Linked DNA regions of Rattus norvegicus. The protein of the gene in region 3 binds, or shares a complex with, the protein of the main gene of each other region. Links are inferred from orthologs where the notes say so. Each region holds a gene or a part of one and is shown on either strand. Other genes may lie near its edges.

The links.
Region 1: Med25 (region 3) and Med13l share a complex: the UniProt entries of both Homo sapiens proteins name them as parts of the mediator complex. The link is inferred for Rattus norvegicus from reciprocal best matches to the Homo sapiens genes MED25 and MED13L.
Region 2: Med25 (region 3) and Med20 share a complex: the UniProt entries of both Homo sapiens proteins name them as parts of the mediator complex. The link is inferred for Rattus norvegicus from reciprocal best matches to the Homo sapiens genes MED25 and MED20.

The regions. Positions count from the first base shown.
Region 1 is NC_086030.1:43,491,198-43,494,850, reverse strand, and holds part of Med13l (mediator of RNA polymerase II transcription subunit 13-like), read left to right. Parts: intron 1-473; coding exon 474-694; intron 695-963; coding exon 964-1,169; intron 1,170-3,653. UniProt on the Homo sapiens protein: Component of the Mediator complex, a coactivator involved in the regulated transcription of nearly all RNA polymerase II-dependent genes.
Region 2 is NC_086027.1:20,867,098-20,870,081, forward strand, and holds the end of Med20 (mediator of RNA polymerase II transcription subunit 20), read right to left. Parts: intron 2,012-2,984; coding exon 1,796-2,011; 3' UTR 584-1,795; downstream 1-583. UniProt on the Homo sapiens protein: Component of the Mediator complex, a coactivator involved in the regulated transcription of nearly all RNA polymerase II-dependent genes.
Region 3 is NC_086019.1:104,495,851-104,499,065, reverse strand, and holds the end of Med25 (mediator of RNA polymerase II transcription subunit 25), read left to right. Parts: intron 1-1,030; coding exon 1,031-1,296; 3' UTR 1,297-2,619; downstream 2,620-3,215. UniProt on the Homo sapiens protein: Component of the Mediator complex, a coactivator involved in the regulated transcription of nearly all RNA polymerase II-dependent genes.

The DNA.
Region 1 (3,653 bases), on a different chromosome or scaffold from region 3:
CCCTGTTGACAAAGCCCTTAGAGTCTGGGTACTATTATTACTTAACTCTAAAATTGTATGGCTAGAAAGACAGTGTGAGATCATTCCCCAAAGAGCAGGACTGTGTGATTCAGTCACCCACCCCCCAGGCTTGCTCTAAATAATTTTTATTCTCTTACTATTTCATAAACGTCTGGAGATGGAGATAGACTTTCATAAGTAGTGTAGTTGGAGAGCTTTCACTTTCTTCTCCACCCGTCTCCTTCAGGTCTTAGAGTCAACTATGGGAAGGAAAGCATGCTCTGCAGACCCTGGTGACTGAATTAGCATGACACCATACAGCATGAAGAGGGGGTCCCAGGGACGTGTGGACGCCTGAGCGTGACCTGTGTCTTGAAAGTCCGTTAGCCTTGTGTGGATACTGCTGTGCCTGGCTGCTTGTCAGAGCTTTTCGGAATCTTGCTGTTAAGATGCACTTTTAATTTTGTTTTTAGCAGTTGCAGACTTGCAAAGGATGTTCCCCACCCCTCCATCATTGGAACAGCATCCTGCATTTTCCCCGGTGATGAATTACAAAGATGGAGTGAGTTCAGAGACAGTGACTGCATTGGGCATGCTGGAGAGCCCTGTGGTCAGTATGGTCCCCACACACCTCACGGAGTTCCGGATGGAAGTGGAAGATGGCTTAGGAAGTCCCAAGCCAGAGGACATAAAGGTAATGACCAGTGTGTGCGCTTCCCCATGGCTGGGCGGCTTCTCGGTGGCGCCCACACACGCGTGTGTAAGGGCTGTTGAAGCCGGAGCCCGTCAGTAGACGGACACTGACCGCTGCTCACCAGCAGTGAGGGCATTAGGTTTTCCCTCTCACTCCGTCATGTAGAGAGCTGTTTCTACAGCAGATTCTGTGCCCGGGTTTTAGGAAGCGCTGAGCACCCAGGGCTGGCTTCGGCGTGCCAGCATTAACCCAGCCCCTCATTGTCACAGGACTTTTCCTACGTGCACAGAGTGCCGCAGTTCCAGCCTTTCGTGGGCTCTTCTATGTTTGCTCCACTGAAGACGCTGCCAAGCCATTGCCTGCTGCCTCTGAAGACACCGGATGCCTGTCTGTTCCGGCCCTCATGGGCGGTTCCTCCGAAAATGGAGCAGCTGCCCATGCCCCCTGCAGCCTCTTCCATTAGAGACGGCTACAAGTACGTGCGCAGCTCTACCACTTACCGCATGCGATGCAACCATGCTGGTTTCCAAGTGCTCGTCACAGGGCCACGGCAGCTCAGGCTCAGACTGGTTTCTTGCTTACTCTCGTTTGTGACCATGTTGTCTTTTGCAGGACCGTGTGTTTATTTTTAAATGAGATTTCCTCTGTGCGTGAGCGCGTGTGTCTCTCTGTGCATGAGCGTGTGTGTAGACAAATTAAGATTATTTCAGAGAGCTGTGTGTAAGTGTAATGTGGCGTTTGCCGTAGAACCTACCTCCGATTGGAGTTGCTGATGGTTGTCAGTAGTGGGAGGAGCTTTGGTTTGTGTAAGGTAATGATTTCAGCGTGGGACTTTAAAGTTAGGTAATACAGTAACAGATTGAGGCGTGATTGGGAAAAGTAAAGGGAGAAATTGCTGGTGACTTGGTGTCTCGTCTGCCCAGAGAAACAATATTTGTATCAGCAGTGCAAACTCTGTTTTCTTTGAAAGAAAGAACTTCTTCCTCAGATAAAGCAAAAATTTACAAACACAAATGTGTGTCCGGGCCATGTGCATGTGTGGATGGACCAGCGCTTTGCCAGTCTCACTGCAGGGATTGTGGAGATGAGTGGGCTCCAGCACTTGCCCCTTCTCAGGGACCGTTGTCAGGCAGGGAGACTGACTGTATGTTGGCCCATCTGAGCCAGCAGCGAACTCAAAGATGATGAGCCTTAGGAGCGAGTAAACCAGTTCTGCCTCAGGGCTCATTCTGGCCATGTGTCTGTGATAGACACCAGCAGTTTACATGGTGTCAGCTTGAGGAGCTGGGTGGGAAGGGGCAGAAGGACCCTGGACTTGGAAGCCAGCACCTATGCCATGTGACAGTTCTGCCTCCTGAAAAGACTGTGGGCTTGAAGGACCCTGGCCCTGGATATTCCGCTCCTTCCAGTAGATTATTCTCCCCAGAGCTGTGGGAATGTTCCAGCAGCCAATGACTGCAGACCGCAGTGGGGAAGGGAAAGGACTGCCAGGCCGGCTGCCCTGGGAGTGCCTGGCCGGGCTCTGCCAAGCTCTATTTGGGCTCTAGCTGCTGAGCGAGGTCCTGGAGCCTCAGCCCCAGACTCTCTGGACAGGTTCTGATAGTCTTCACTCTCTGAGTGGCCACTCCCACCCATCCATCGCCTTCCCCCTATACCCTCTGCAGCCAGAGGTTAGACTGGCGGCCTGGTGGAGCCTGTGCTAAGGGAAGAGATTTTGCTCACACTGTCTGATGTGGCTGTGGCCAGTGTTGGCTCCTTATCATGTGGCTAGTGGGTTCTTAGCTCTGCTTCCCTTAAAACTAGCCCTGGGGTCTGGGAACTGCTTTACCAGGTGGCACAGCTTGGCACTGCCAGGTCCTGCTGTGCTCTCCAGTGCCACTGCACTGGGCTTGCCTGTCATGCTTGGTATACTTGCTGATGCTTGCTTCTGTCTCTCTGCTGACTGCCCCACTTTTCACTCAGGATTGGTTTCCAGTTCCTTCTTAGGAAACAGGGAAGAATGAGGCTGCTAAGTAAGATGAACTGTTTTCTACCTAGGGAACAAGTGAAGTATTTAGATTTTCAGCTAGCAATCATGGTTCTGTTTTAATCCACTGTAAAATCATTTTAGGATCTTGTTGACCAGCAAAATTTAAAGGAATCCAATAAATGTACAGATAGTTATTTATTGCACCATTCAGTTTCTCTGTCAGCTTTTGTCTGAACCCAAGAAATCCTTGTAAGTCAAAGTTTATGTAATTACTGCCTGGTTCAGATACCTGAGCCAATGGTACAAGTTCTAAAAGACTGCAGGGCGATGGCTTGTGGAAGTAAATGGGTGTGAAGCTCACTGAGGAGCACAGGCTTCATGTGTCGAGTCATTAGGACTGAAGTCCTTGCGAGTGCACATAGTGAGCTTGAGCCTGTGCGCTGTCTACAGGCCTGTGGGAGTTGTTGAGGGTGTGCTTCAGGGCAGCTTTAGAGTGGCAGGGCATGCACATGCTGCAGACGTGATCTCCCCAAGCCACTGCTCATGAGATAAACAGCCCTGTCTGTCTCAGAACTGAGAGAGATTGAAGGAAGAAGGGGACCCTCAGGGACCTCTTGGTGTGTCCTTCCCAGTGACTGCTGAGTGACAGACACTAAGCCCTGTGCTAGACAGACAGATGGGCACAGCAGTCACACAGTGCTGGGGACACTCACGCCTTACCAGGGCTACCATCTGACTTAGGAAAGCACCACATTTGAATGTGGATTTGGTTACAGCCACTTCAGTATCATTGCAGAGTTGTGGCCTCTAGGAAAAGTGCACAGGCAGAGACGCAAAGCCGTAGCTGTAGAGTGGACGCAAACCCAGCCTGCACTGTCTGGGCTGCACTCTGAGCACCATTAGTCCTCAGCAGCTCCCCAGCAGGCCAGGGTGAGCACTGTGTAGTGTGGATTATGTAGAAAGGAAGTGTGTGTGTGTGTGTGTCTGTGT
Region 2 (2,984 bases), on a different chromosome or scaffold from region 3:
GGCCTTCTCACTAGTCACAGTTCAGTTCTGGTGCCTCTGCTGGCAGAGCCATCACCTGCTCCGTTATTATTAGGTCTTTTGCTTAGCAAGCTTCTTTCAGTGCTGCATTTCCACTCATGACAAGGACCAAGCAAAGTACCCAAGTGGTCATTCTTCAGGCTACATCTCATGTTTAAAGCCAACTGTGAGCTCAAATGGAAAAGAGCAAAAATGAAGGGACTGAAAAGACAGCTCAGTAGTTAAGAATGTTTTTGCTCTTGCAGAAGACCTGATTCCATTCCCAATATCCAAATCTGCCTGAGACACCATATCCAGAGGAGTTGATGCCCTCTTCTGGCCTCCAAGGGTACTGCAAACTCAAGAACAAACCCCCCCCCCCCATTCCCGCCATGCGTGCCATTAAAAACAAAATCTTTTTTTTTTTTTAAATCAAGAATGGGGTTGGGGATTTAGCTCAGTGGTAGAGCGCTTGCCTAACAAGCACAAGGCCCTGGGTTCGGTCCCCAGCTCTGAAAAAAAGGGAAAAAAAAAATCAAAAATGTGGGAATGGAAGCAAGGCAACTTCAATTACCAAGATGCAAGATTGTTTGTGCTTCTCTTTATTTTTTAGAAACTGATCCCTTCTTATGTAGGAACTGAGAGTCCATATTTACCACACTTAACATCTGTGTTTTCAAGCGACCAGTACAAAGTACAAAGTAGACAGCCTGCAACAAGACCAAACACAGAACAGAAGGCCGAAACTGTAGTGTTTGTCAATTTTATTGTGGTATCTAAAACACCTCAGTTTTTACACAGCAACAATAAAAGAGTAACAACAAAAGCAAGAGGAAGTAACAGGATAACCAGGAAGGTGTGATGAGCTGTCCTGCCCACCAAAGCTAGGACACAAGAATGACCCACCTCCTCAGAGCTGCTGCACAAACACTGCCACCCTACACTTTGTATATGAACAGCTTTCCCAAGCCTGTCTACGTGTTAAATGTTTCTGTAACAGGTGTGAGGCAGGTGAGCAATGTCAGTGAGTTCAAGGCTCAAGCCAGCCAAGACGGCAAACTAGGAAGCCCCCTGAGAAAACTGAGTGTTGAGTGTCAGGAATGTGTGTCCACAGTGATCTAATCAACTTTGAAAAACATCCCTATCTCTTTCCTCAGCAGACTGTGGGCACGGAGATACTGAGCGTGCTTTGATCCTGTGGTGAGGAAAGCATTCTGGGGACAGTATGATAGAAGGAACAGTAAGACATAAGAAGCCAAGTTCCTGGTAACCCTGTGGAGTTCATTCTGTTCTGTGGAACTGAATGCCTCTGAACTATTAACGAAAAATAAGCTGTGCAGTAAGAGCCCTCTGCTTTTGGTTCTGCTACAGCAACTTGGCCTGCAGGTTCACATAATTCAAAACAGTAGGGGAAGACATCAGTGTCCAAAGAATGAAAGCAACACTCTCGCAGCCAACAATCCCGTCCTGCCAGCCACATCCTCAAGCGAAAGCAGCACAGGCATACAGCCTATTCGAAATGCTCAGCACCTGGGGACACACAGCTCTAGCACTGGTGGGCACAACCCTGTCCTACCTTTTGCCTACAGGAGGAAAGGCCCAAGCCTTTCCATTCTTCACAATTACCATTCTTGAGGACCAGCCAAATCCAGTTAAAGCATGAAGTAAAGAACAGCTGTGATGTGGTCAGGAGGGGAGTCCAAAGCCCTGGAACACAAGCTACAGCTGGGACCCAAGTCCAGCACGTGGTCCTTGACAGTGCCATGGTGACAGCTCAGCAGGCGGCAGCTGCCAGTCACTAGCGGATCCCAGCCACAGGCACTTGCTGCTGTTTCCGGACCTTGTTGAAGAGCTCCATGTACTGTACCATGGTATCTGCTGGCCCGTAGACCGCATCATGTCTGTTCCCAAACACTGTGGGCGCCCCTGGTGTGTGGCTACCTAGAAAACTCTGTAGGAATTCAAGCAGGAGGCTCCAGCAGTCACTAGCTACCACACAAGGGCCATACTCCACCTGGGACAAGAGAACAGACAGCAAGGGTAAGGACAAGGATGGGCTAGCTAGCTTCCCTCCTGCAACTGCAACCGTCCAGTCACTGGTGAAACAATTAGACAGTGTTGGCCTGGGAGCCTCCTGAAAAGAAACTTGACACGAGGGTCCTTCCTTTTCTCTACCTGGGCACTTCCCAGACTCTCTTGTTTGGTTGTTACTTTGTGACAGGATCTAACTGTGCAGCTGCAGTTGGCTTCAGACTCGCAGTCCTCGGGCTCTGTCTCCCAAGTGCCGAGACAGTAAGCATGTACCAGCACTCCCGGCCTCCGACTCCTTCCTCCTTAGTCTGTCCACTGCTTTACAGGTTACCATTTCAGTCAGCAAGACTCAGCCTGGTTCCCTAAGCCACATGCCTTTCTGGACTCACTTCACATGTGTGTGTTTCAGCTCTGCTTGCTTACCAAAACCATGCATTTTCAGAATTGTTTTATTGTTTCTAAAATCGCAGTTAATGCTGGACACATGGTAGGCTATGGACTTTCACTCTAAAGCTATCTTTCCATACTCTCCATGTCATTTTCAACATCTACATATTTAGGTTCAGTGTTGAAGGCCATCAGCCAGTAAAAATGCTTGCCACCAAGCCCGATAGCCTGAGTTCAATCCCCAGGACCCACATGGCAGGAAGAGAGAACTGATTGCTCCAATCTCTAGATGCACACCTACACCCACGATAAGTATGGTCAATTTTTTTTTTTGACTAAAAAAACTAGATGAAGGCATCTCATACACACATTCTTGGCCATCATGAAAGTGGACAGATGCCACAGGGAAAGATACAGTTTTGTTCCACAGCTCTGGAAGCCTCTTGTAAAACATACTAAGGTGGGGCACGGTGGGCACTGTATGACTGACAGCCCACCTCAGACATCCCTCAGAAAGCTGTGTCCTCAGCCCTTCCTGGAAAGGGTGTTGGTCCCCATACCCTCACTCC
Region 3 (3,215 bases):
GTTCTGCGAGACTTGGAGGCAGGTGGGCAGGTAGTGTACAGCTCACGTGCACTTAAGGGGTTATGGAGCCCAGAATGCCTCTGACCCAGCCAGGGTTCCGAGGAGCCTGGAAGGAGAAGCAGTAATTGGGAGCCAGAAGGGACCTAGGTGCAGATAGCCAAAGCCACAGAAAAGGGGCGTGCAGGGCCAGGAGGTGGACGCTCCTGGGATGAGCATTTCAGGAAGGAGCCGGAGCTGCAGAGTCCAGACTGGGAAGCTGGAGATTGGTCCTGGGGATGCAGGACTGCATAGACTGCCAGTAGGGCTGGGTGTCAGGAAGGTGCGATGGTTTGTAGGAGCAGGGCAAGCAAGAGGGAATGGGGGTGCCTAAGTGGCACGTGCCACACCAGGAAATCAGGATGTCCCCACGGGAATGTGTTCTGTGCTTGAGGCCGTAGCAGTCAGGGTTTCACAAACAGCAGGCACTGGGTTCCAGGTGCAGGTGTGGATAGGTTGGGTAGCTTCTGTCTTACGGTCTGCCCTCAGGCCTGTGTGCAGGTGTCCCCCCTGGAGAGTGAGTGAGAGGTTTGTCACACAGGCACATGTCGCTGAGTGTGGTCTGTGTCTGGACCACCACTGCCTGGGTGTGAGGCGCTAGTTAATGTGCAGGTGACTGACCCATCCCAGGAGAGAGGCTGCAATCTAGTGGCCCATGGGCCACCACAGATGGGTTTTGTTTGGCCTTCCCTGTGCTAGCATGGCACAGTCTTTTTACCCGTTAGCTGTAAAGCACCTATGACGTTCACACAGTCTGCAGTCTGCTCCTCTTGATGTGTCAGAAGACTGACACACCGGGCCCACCCTTCTGCCTGGCAGTAGTAGCCTTGTCAGTGGGGCTCATGCTCTCAGGTTCGCCACAGTCCCCACCACTCTTGCTCTTCCACGGTGAGGCAGGGGTCCTGCCTCAGTCACGGGGCTGGCACCATGGTGGTTCTGTGGTAGCATTCAGAGAAAAGTGAAATCTTTCTTGTACCCATGTCTCCTTCAAAAGTGGCCAAACGAAAGAGAGAAGGAGAGGGCCGCGTGTTTCGAGAAAAATGGGAGCGAGACTATTTCTTTGTGGAAGTGAAGAGCATGCCTACGTGCTTAATATGCAAAAAAAACGTGTCAGTGCTGAAAGAGTACAACCTGAAGCGCCACTATGAGTCCCAGCACAGCAGGAGCTACGGTCAGTACACAGCGCAGAGCCGCGACACACTCCTGCAGGAACTCAAGAGGGCCCTCCGAGCCAGCGAGGCTTTGGAGAGCCAGGAATAGCCATGCAGTGCAGTGGAGAAAAGAACTGTCATCAAGGCTGTCCTGTGAGTCTGACAAGCTTTTGCAGGCTGAAGCACACAGGAGTCAGAGGCCTTACGGATCCAGTTGCCTGAACCACAGCAGTGGCCTTTTGATGGCTGCACAGAAACTCTGAGCACATGGTTAGCTTTATTTATTTGTGGTGGTGGTGATCTCCATGCAACCGAGGTAGTCTGTGAGGTGGCGCCAAGCCAGCCCCTGACTTTGAAGTGGCTTGCTCTTGTGCATGCAGACATCAGATTCATAAGCACAGCTACAGTCCCCTCATGGTGGTCGGGCTGTCCGTTGTGGGGCTGTCCCATACCTCCGTCCCACTCATGGTGGTCGGGCTGTCCATCGTGGGGCTGTCCCATACCTCCATCCCAAGTGGCACTGTTTGCCAGGACCCAGCTCAGATCCTAGTCTCAGTAACCAGGAATTGAGATGCTCAAAGAAACACCATGACGCCTTGACTCGCATTCCTGTACTTGAACTGAGCCAGTTGCCTGAGACCAGGACATGCAGGGAATCTGAACTGGCCTGTTCAGTTCACTTCAGAGTGTGCCGAGCCGAGCCCTGGTTCCCTGGAGGGAACCTGGTTAGACACGTTTGGTTGAAGTTCCCACCCTTGTGAACACTGACTCTGTCTCAGAAGGACATTCACGAACAGCTCCTGAATGTATGACTGGGGTGTGATCCTGGCAGATGGATGCCTTTTCGAGCAATAGTGGGACTGCCTATCCTTGCTGCAGCTGGTTTCTGGAAATGAGAGGCGGCCAGGACCAGTTACCCACACTGTGAGACCCAAGACCAAGTTCCCCGAGGGCCATATTCTACTTGAACTTGAGCTAACACTGGCTAGCTCGCCTTACGATGATGTGAATGCAGACCCCAGTCCGAGTTGCAGTGCAACAGGGTGCATGCAGTTCTGCAAGATGGCGAGGATCCTTTACCTCTGTCCAGCAGTATCCTGAGTGTTTGGCTGCCCACACTTGTGACAGTCACTGTTTTCCGTTACTAAATCAAAAAACTCCGTTTTAAGGATTAAGGTTGAAATTTCACCTGCCCATCTCTCTGTCCCAACCAATGCCAGCACTGACACCTGGGTGTAGAAGGGCAGGTGTCAACCTTCCACTCAAAAGGCACAAGAGAATTACAAGAGAGAAATTTTAATAACTAAATATTTCTATTTTTCAATTTGTATTTTTTCAATTTTGAATTTAAAGTATGAACTCTAGTATCATACGTGTTTGTGTTGTATTCCGTGCGTTCACCATAGCTCAGTAAAGATCCAATTTGATTATCTTTCTGGCCGTGGGCTTTCCTTCTCCCTGACTAATCCACCCACTTGTGTGACAGCCTGGCCCCTGCTAGCGGGTTCACTTCTACCCCTGCCCTGGGGCCTGGCTGGGAGGGGCTAGGAGGCCTCTTATCCCATGAGGCCCCGCCCCTGGGTGATTCTCAGAAAGTAAAAGAGGACTAGGGCACCAGGTGCAGCTGAAGACGTGAAGGCAAGGTGATGTGGCCATGCAGCCAGTGTGTGCCCATGGCTCCAAGACACTGGGTGCTAGGGATTGTGGCGAACCTGGAGAGTGCGTCCCCCACCTGGTGGCCTTCAAACCAAAACTACCACACACACTGAGGACCAAACAAAATCTGCTGTGGGTCTCATGAGGCCATTAGGCCACCATTTTGCTACCTCTGGAAAGAGACTCTAGAACCAGGACACAGCCTCAATGGGAACCCATACATGAGTAGGCAGGGACGGGGGAGATGGTTGAGGCAGGCAGGTTTTCTGAAGAGGAACTAAGTCATCAACAAGAGGAGAGACATCATTTTGTATGTAGACCAGGCAGAAGTTCTAGGGAAATGTGGGTTTGTCCTCAAAACAAGTTAAGAAT